2 linked regions of the Pelodiscus sinensis genome follow. The protein of the gene in region 1 purifies or fractionates together with the protein of each later gene. This does not show direct contact. Links are inferred from orthologs where the notes say so. Each region holds a gene or a part of one and is shown on either strand. Other genes may lie near its edges. The genes, in order: BCAR1 and BCAR3.

Evidence for each region.
Region 2: the proteins of BCAR1 (region 1) and BCAR3 purify together in Homo sapiens (co-immunoprecipitation; 4 studies listed by BioGRID and IntAct, counting the BioPlex papers as one, with this or other methods). This does not show direct contact. The link is inferred for Pelodiscus sinensis from reciprocal best matches to the Homo sapiens genes BCAR1 and BCAR3.

The regions. Positions count from the first base shown.
Region 1 is NC_134722.1:47,962,736-47,966,649, forward strand, and holds the start of BCAR1 (breast cancer anti-estrogen resistance protein 1), read left to right. Parts: upstream 1-1,039; 5' UTR 1,040-1,187; coding exon 1,188-1,199; intron 1,200-3,914. UniProt on the Homo sapiens protein: Docking protein which plays a central coordinating role for tyrosine kinase-based signaling related to cell adhesion. Implicated in induction of cell migration and cell branching. Involved in the BCAR3-mediated inhibition of TGFB signaling.
Region 2 is NC_134719.1:35,202,178-35,206,091, reverse strand, and holds the start of BCAR3 (breast cancer anti-estrogen resistance protein 3), read left to right. Parts: upstream 1-1,385; 5' UTR 1,386-1,435; coding exon 1,436-1,525; intron 1,526-3,914. UniProt on the Homo sapiens protein: Acts as an adapter protein downstream of several growth factor receptors to promote cell proliferation, migration, and redistribution of actin fibers.

The sequences.
Region 1 (3,914 bases):
GTCCCATGTCACACATACAAGCGTCCCGTGTCACACACACACACACACCCCTGTGTTATACACTCGCAGTCCTGTGTCTCACACACACACACACACAGCCTCGTGTCACACACATCCGCATGAACACACACATATAATCCCATGTCACACATGCAATCACACACACAGAGCCCCATCTCATACACTCACACACACACAGCCCCATGTCTCAAATACACACTCACAGAGTCCCATGTCACACACGCAGTCTCGTGTCACACACACATACAGACAGGCAGTCCCATGCCACATACACACAAACGCAGCTCCATGTCACACACACACACACATACACATGCACGCAGTCCTGTGTCACACACATGCGCGCACACACAGCCCCGTGTCACACACTCACACGTGCACATGCAGCCCTGTGTCACACACACACACAGTCCCGTTTCACACACTCATGCACATGCAGCCCCATGTCACACACACGTGCACACACAGTCCTGTGTCACACACACGCGTGCACACACAGTCCCGTGTCACACTCACACACTCACATGCAACCCTGTGTCACACACTCACACATGCAGTCCCGTGTCACACAACCACAGGCGCATAAGCAGCCCAATGTCACACACTCACACATGCAGCCTCGTGTCACACACTCACGCGCACACGCAGCCCCGTGTCACACACTCACAGGCGCACGCGCAGCCCCGTGTCACACACTCACACACTTAGCCCCATGTCACACACACAGGCGCACATGCAGCCCCGTGTCACACACTCACACACGCAGCCCCGTGTCACACACACACACACGCAGCCCCGTGTCACACACTCAGGCGCACACGCAGCCCCGTGTCACACACACACACACACAGCCCCGTGTCACACACTCACACACGCAGCCCCGTGTCACACACTCAGGCGCACACGCAGTCCCGTGTCACACACTCTCACACGCAGCCCCGTGTCACACACTCAGGCGCACACGCAGCCCCGTGTCACACGCGCAGGGCGCCCCCTGCTGCCGGCGGGCGGGCGTGCGGAGGGCGGCGCTGGGGGCGGGCTCGCTGCCCAGCCCAGCCCAGGCGGCGCGGCGGCCAGTCGGCCGGGGGAGCGCTGGGGTGCGGAGCTGCCGAGCCGCGCCGAGCCGGGCCGCGCCGCCTGGGCCCGCGGCGGGGCCGCCGGGGAAGATGAACTACCTGGTGAGTGCCCCCCCCCCCCCCCCCGCCCGCCGCGGCCCGGCCCATCCCCGCCGCCTCCTGGCGCCGGCCCCGGCCCATCCCCGCCGCCTCCTGCCGGGCAGCCGGGCCCCGCTGGCAGCTCCGGGCCGCCCCGCGGGACAATGCGGAGCCGCGGCCGCGCCGAGCGCCCTGCCCCGCACGACGTGGCACGGAGCGGGCGGCCCCCGGCGCCGGATCGGGCCCCGCAGCGGGCCCGGGGAGGGTCATTCGCCGGCCCAGAGCCCGGCCGCGCCGGGGGCCTGCGCTGGGGGTGGAGCCGGGGCTGGGGCCGGGCGTGAGGCTCGGTGCGCGGCGAAGCGGCTTTGTCCTTTGCGGGAGAGCGCGACGGACCCCCCTCCCCCCCCGTGATGAGTTGGTTGGGTCTCAGGCCGGGCCCCTAGCTGCTCAGTCCCCCCCCCCCCCCCCCGACCCCTGTGTTGAATTGGTTGGGTCTCAGGCCGGGCCCCTAGCTGCTCAGTCCCCCCCGACCCCTGTGTTGAATTGGTTGGGTCTCAGGCTGGGCCCCTAGCTGCTCAGTCCCCCCCCCCCCCCGTGTTGAATTGGTTGGGTCTCAGGCTGGGCCCCTAGCTGCTCAGTCCCCCCCCCCCCCCGTGTTGAATTGGTTAGGTCTCAGGCTGGGCCCCTAGCTGCTCAGTCCCCCCCCCCCCCCGTGTTGAATTGGTTGGGTCTCAGGCTGGGCCCCTAGCTGCTCAGTCCCCCCCCCCCCCCGTGTTGAATTGGTTGGGTCTCAGGCTGGGCTCCTAGCTGCTCAGTCGTCCCCCCCCCCCCCCGTGTTGAATTGGTTGGGTCTCAGGCTGGGCCCCTAGCTGCTCAGTCCCCCCCCCCCCCGTGTTGAATTGGTTAGGTCTCAGGCTGGGCTCCTAGCTGCTCAGTCCCCCCCGACCCCTGTGTTGAATTGGTTGGGTCTCAGGCTGGGCCCCTAGCTGCTCAGTCCCCCCCCCCCCCCCGTGTTGAATTGGTTAGGTCTCAGGCTGGGCTCCTAGCTGCTCAGTCCCCCCCGACCCCTGTGTTGAATTGGTTGGGTCTCAGGCTGGTCTCCTAGCTGCTCAGTCGTCCCCCCCCCCCCCCCCCGTGATGAGTTGGTTGGGTCTCAGGCCGGGCCCCTAGTTGCTCAGTCCCCCCCCCGCCCCCCGTGATGCGTTGGTTGGGTCTCAGGCCGGGCCCCTAGCTGCTCAACCCCCCCCCCCCCCCCCCCCCCCCCCCCGTGATGAGTTAGGTCTCGGGCCAGGCCCTGGTGCTCGCTGGACTGGTGGCCCAGACCCGGCCGTAGGCTCCGTGCCCCGGTGCCAGGGCGGGCATGCACTGTCCTTCCCCGCTGCCGGAGCCGTCTCATGCCAGCAGCGGGCGCAGGTCCTGGCTGGCCCGAGGGGTGCCTGGGATGGGGGCCCCGCCCGGGGACTGGGTTCCCAGCCAGGGGCCTGTCCCAGCGGGCAGCCTGGCTGCGACCTGGGCATATGTCCTGAGCATTTGTTCCCCCCTAGGATCCCCTCCCCCAGCATGGGCCGCTGCCCTGCCCCGGCCCCTAGCGCCTGCCAGCCCCGGCTCTCGGGGCTCTGAACCAGGGCCTGGTGGCCAAGATGGCCCAGAGGTTCCCCGGACACTCGGCCCCTTCATCCCCCCGAGGGCAGGCAGGGCCGACTCTGGCTCAGGTTGGGCCCGGGGCTCGCAGAGGAAGTGACCTGCCTGGAAGTCGTGTGGCACATCCGGCCGAGCACCGGACTTCCCCGCCCTGCTCTCCCCACTGGCCGGCGCTCCCTCCCTGACTCGGCCCCATGGGACAGGGGCAGTGCCCCCTGCTCCCACCCAGCTGGCGCCTTCCTGGGTCACCCCCCGGCAGGGCCTGCACCCTGCGATTGAGCCAGGGTGCTCTGGCACTTGGCACCAGCCCATGACAGCCAGGAGGGGGTGTCACCAGGCACTGCCCCCTTGCTGGCCCCGGGGGCAAGGGAGGAGGCCCACAGCGCCCTGACCCACACTGGGCCCTAGGCTGCCTCTCCCCTCCCCCCCGGCTGTGTGGGTGCCTGGAACCAGGCTGTCCAAGCTGGGGGTCTGGCAACATTTGACCATCGGGAGCTGGGTCTGTGCTGGGCAGGGGGCCCCGAAGCCTGTTGGGGGGGCCGGATTCCCCCCCCCCCGTGAGATTTGCCACTGGCAATAGAAGGGGGGAGGGAGCCGTTGCTGGAGGAGGCCACGTGGTGCCAGGGGCCGGCGGGGGGGGAACTGGCACAGCCGGTGGCTAGTGGCAGAGCGTAAGTGCCCTGCCCGCCTGCGTCAGCGACGGCGTTAATGATTCACCCGGCAATCAGCCTTCGGCCTGGCGCAGGGCCCCGCGGGGGAGGGGAGCGACTCCTGTCATGCTACAGCAGAGCGGGGGCAGGGACCCCCCCCCCCCCCCCCCCCGCAGCACTTGGAACCCTTGAGAGGAGACGCCCCCTTCGGCCAGGGCCTGCCCCCTGGCTGGGGCCGACCAGGGCTGGGGGGGATCTTCCCAGGTGGCGGGGGTCACAGACCCCTTTGGCAGTGCCCACGGCGGGGGGGTGTCTCTGCGCTGTGGGAGCTGGTGACGGCTTAGCTGGCTGGTTCCCCTGCTGTGTTCGGGGTTCTCTGTCCAACCCCCTTTGCCGCAGATTTGCCCCGGTGAGCGGAAAGGTGGGGGGGGATGGGGCGGTCGCCTGC
Region 2 (3,914 bases), on another chromosome or scaffold:
AGTGCTTCTTGCACAAATGCTTTGACGTTCCCACTCGAGCAAAAGCCCTTTTCCAGAAATGTTTTTGCGCAAGAGGGCCAGTGTAGACAGCTAAAAACTGTTTTGCGCAAAAAAGCCCCAATGGCAAAAATGGCGATCGGGGCTTTCTTGCACAAAACCGCGTCTAGATTGGTATGGATGCTTTTCTGCAAAAAGTGCTTTTGCAGAAAAGCATCTGTGCCAATCTAGACGCTCTTTTCCACAAATGCTTTTAACAGAAAAACTTTTCCGTTAAAAGCATTTGCGGAAAATCATGCCAGACTAGACGTAGCCTTTGTATTCTCCATTGGCTGTTGTGGGATTGTTTGTCTGTTTAGTGGATGTGTTAATGAAGGAACGTGTGATAAATTACAGGTGTTTCTTGTGTGCTCTTCTGGTCTCTGATTCTAATGCTGTTGATGGTAATCTTCCTGATGCTGTTGCTGCTCAGGAGACCAAATCCTTACCGAGCACCAAATCCTTACCGAGCCATCTGAGAGATTAATCAGTATTCCACTCCAGCAGTTAATTGTAGATGGGCCCAGTAGTGTGCTCTCAGATCTTGCAAAGGGAGACCAAAACAGAGTCCCAGACACAGAAAGACAGAAACTGGTGAAAAAAGTGATCTGGGAGGTCTTGTTGACAGAGGACTCAAATTCAAAGCCAGCCAAAATCCTGTCGGAGCCAAAGGAGTAGCTTCTATCTCCTAGTTATGAGATATTCTGTAACTGAGTGACCAGGTTGTCTGTGTATCTCTGACACACACCACGGGATCATATTCATTCTTTGTCCCCGGCAAACTACACAGTCCAGTTCACTGCCTACACATTCATATACACATTACAGTCCCATTTACTCTTGCCTTCCTCTCATATATTTTATCGCTCAATTTAGTCAGCATGAAAGACAAACTAAGGCACAGTGGCTGGACAAAGATATTGAGCAATGTTTTCCATGAACACAAGGACTGTGCATTTTTTGCTGATTATATTATTATATTGTTGGCCTGTATGTCTTAGAAGGCTAAAAGAAACTGAGCTTTTGTTATGCCCTGTTTCATCAAGATTACAAATAAAACTAACAAATTACACGTAGATGTATGAGAAGATCTTCAGATGGCATAAATTATCATAGTTCCATTCATTCACTTTAATTTACATCAGCTGAGGCTCTGTCCTTCAATCTTAATTGAACATAACCAACCTTAATACATAATTAACAGTAGCTCCAAAACAATGACTAAATCATTCCTTATACCTTTGGAGTCAATGAGGATTACATCAGAGGAGATCATTTGCTACAAAAGTGGCTGTTTTAAGTGCTCTGTTGGAATTCTACTGATGCTCAGCATTAGCTATTTTTGTTCGTTTTGTTCTGCAGTGTCAAAGGCATTGTGAAGTGAGGAGAGTAACAGATTATGAAGCATCTATCCATTTCTAACTGGCTAACACAGCTGGGCCTCCCAGAATATTGCATGCTCTTTGATGAACAATATGATGATGTAGAGGTAAGAAACTCTTTTTTTTTTTTTCAGGAAAATCCCCATGGAAGTGTCAAGTGGTTCAGTGAGCTTGATACAATTAGTCTCAAACCAGACAGGTTTCCAGTTAGAAAATGAGAACTTTGAAGCTTTATCCTAACAGAGAAATCTCATGAGACTAGCAGAGCTCTGGTGGAGAGTTGAATAAGTAAGTGTTGTCTAAGTAACACTTTCTTTACCTTTATTCATTGGATTTATAGAAGCTTTAAAAGCCCAAAAGCTAGTGATGGAAAAGGCTTTTTTACTTATTGAGTCTAATCCCAAATTCAAGGTAGAGTTCCCCAACTGATGTTATTTTAACTGAAAGCCCAGTTGTCTATTGTCCACAAATGCAGAACTTCTCTGTTTTAATATTCTTGATAAATATTACTTTGTTCACTTGTACATTTCCAGACATAAGCTGTTTTTCAGCATAGGTTGAATATCTCTTATCCAGCACCCTCAGGACCTGACTGGTGCCGAACCAGAGAATTTGCTGGATCATGGGAGGTCAATATTGTCTAGCAGCAATACCAACACTTCCACTGCTTACTGGATTTTTAGAAGACATTTAGGGGTAAATTAGAGCTAAATGACAGCACAGAACACTTAGAGCCAGGACTGGTGGCTGTAAACAAACTTTATGGGAGCACAGAAAAGTTGATCACACCCATGATAAATGGACTTCCAGCTAACTAAAATCATGCAGGACCATGGATGCTGCCAGACTAGAGAGTACTGGATTAGAGAGGTTCAACCTGTTCTTCTGCTTGGAGCAAGACAGGACCGTTCAGGAGAATGTATAACTTTACATAAATACACTCAGGGGAGCCAACAGATATACCAGGGCCTTGGGCAAGGTGAGGGGGCCGGCTCTGCATCCCCAGAAGGGGCCGGGCCTCAGGTGGAATGGCTGGGTGAGGCCAGAGGTAGTGAGCATGCCACAGCAGGCTCCCTCTCCCACCCCCCAGCTCTCAGTGCTGCTTGGAGCATGGCACAGCCCTTAGAGCCACTGGGCACACACCATGCGGTGCTCTACCTACTATTTAAAGGGTCTGGGGTTAAAACTGCCACAGTGGCAGTTGCCCCCTTTGCCCCCCCCCCCCCTTTTGGCAGGCCTGAATACACAGATCGCATGTCAGGATCAATATAAGGTCTGAACATGTTTGTGGTGTAATTCTTTGTGCCTACCCTTTGTTGTTAAAATATCTTGTATATAATTATGAAAGCAGAGCTTTTGACAATGTGACTAGTACTGAAAGACAAAATGAGCAGGGATTTCATGTTTTCATAATGGATTAAGGAAAGATAAAACTATATTTTAAATTTAAGTAACATTACTGTGGACATGTGAACATTAGGGTCTGATTCTGCAGGCAGCTACTCTTAAGAGTAATACTTATTACCAGGAGTAGCTCTATTAACTATTGCCTGTGGAACTACGCCAGGGTATGTCGACACTACCCCGCTAGTTCGAACAAGCGGGGTAATGTTTGCATACCGCACTTGCTAATGAAGCCCGGGATTTGAATTTCCCGGGCTTCATTAGCATAAGCGGGGAGCCGCCATTTTTAAATCCCCGCTGCTTCGAACCCCGTGCAGCGCGGCTACACGGGGCTCGAACTAGGTAGTTCGGACTAGGGTGCCTATTCCGAACTACCGGTACACCTCATTTCACGAGGAGTAACGGTAGTTCGGAATAGGAACCTAGTCCGAACTACCTAGTTCGAGCCCCGTGTAGCTGCGCTGCACGGGGTTCGAAGCATCGGGGATTTAAAAATGGCGGCTCCCCGCTTATGCTAATGAAGCCTGGGAAATTCAAATCCCGGGCTTCATTAGCAAGTGCGGTATGCCTACATTACCCTGCTAGTTCAAACTAGCGGGGTAGTGTAGACATACCCCCAGGTAGTAAGCAATATACTTAGTTGTAATTACTTGTCTGACTGAGCCTGAAGCATAGGAAACTGAAGTGTGATGCTCTCCCTTTATCTAAGGCAATCATGAAAAGACAAGAAAAAACCCACACCTTTTGCAATTTGTTATACTAAAATGTATCAAGAAATACTGCCACTTTGCTAGCATGCAAGATAAGACAAGTCGTTTATTATTTGTAGTGCCACTTGTTCAGCATTAGCTCTAATGGACACATTTACTAAAGTGAGATCAAGTAGATAACTTTGATTCATGTTCCTGTGGGTGCTTCATTGTAGGTGTCGGGTCATCCCAGCACTACAGAGCAGAGGTCTTTCCAGCAGTAGTCAGTCTACACATGTGACATAGCTGTCTCATGGCGCTTGCACCTTAATGTATCACATGAGCGGCCTGATCCTCCTCAATTCTTCTCTGCCGTCTTTGGCTGCAGATAGAGTATCACAAC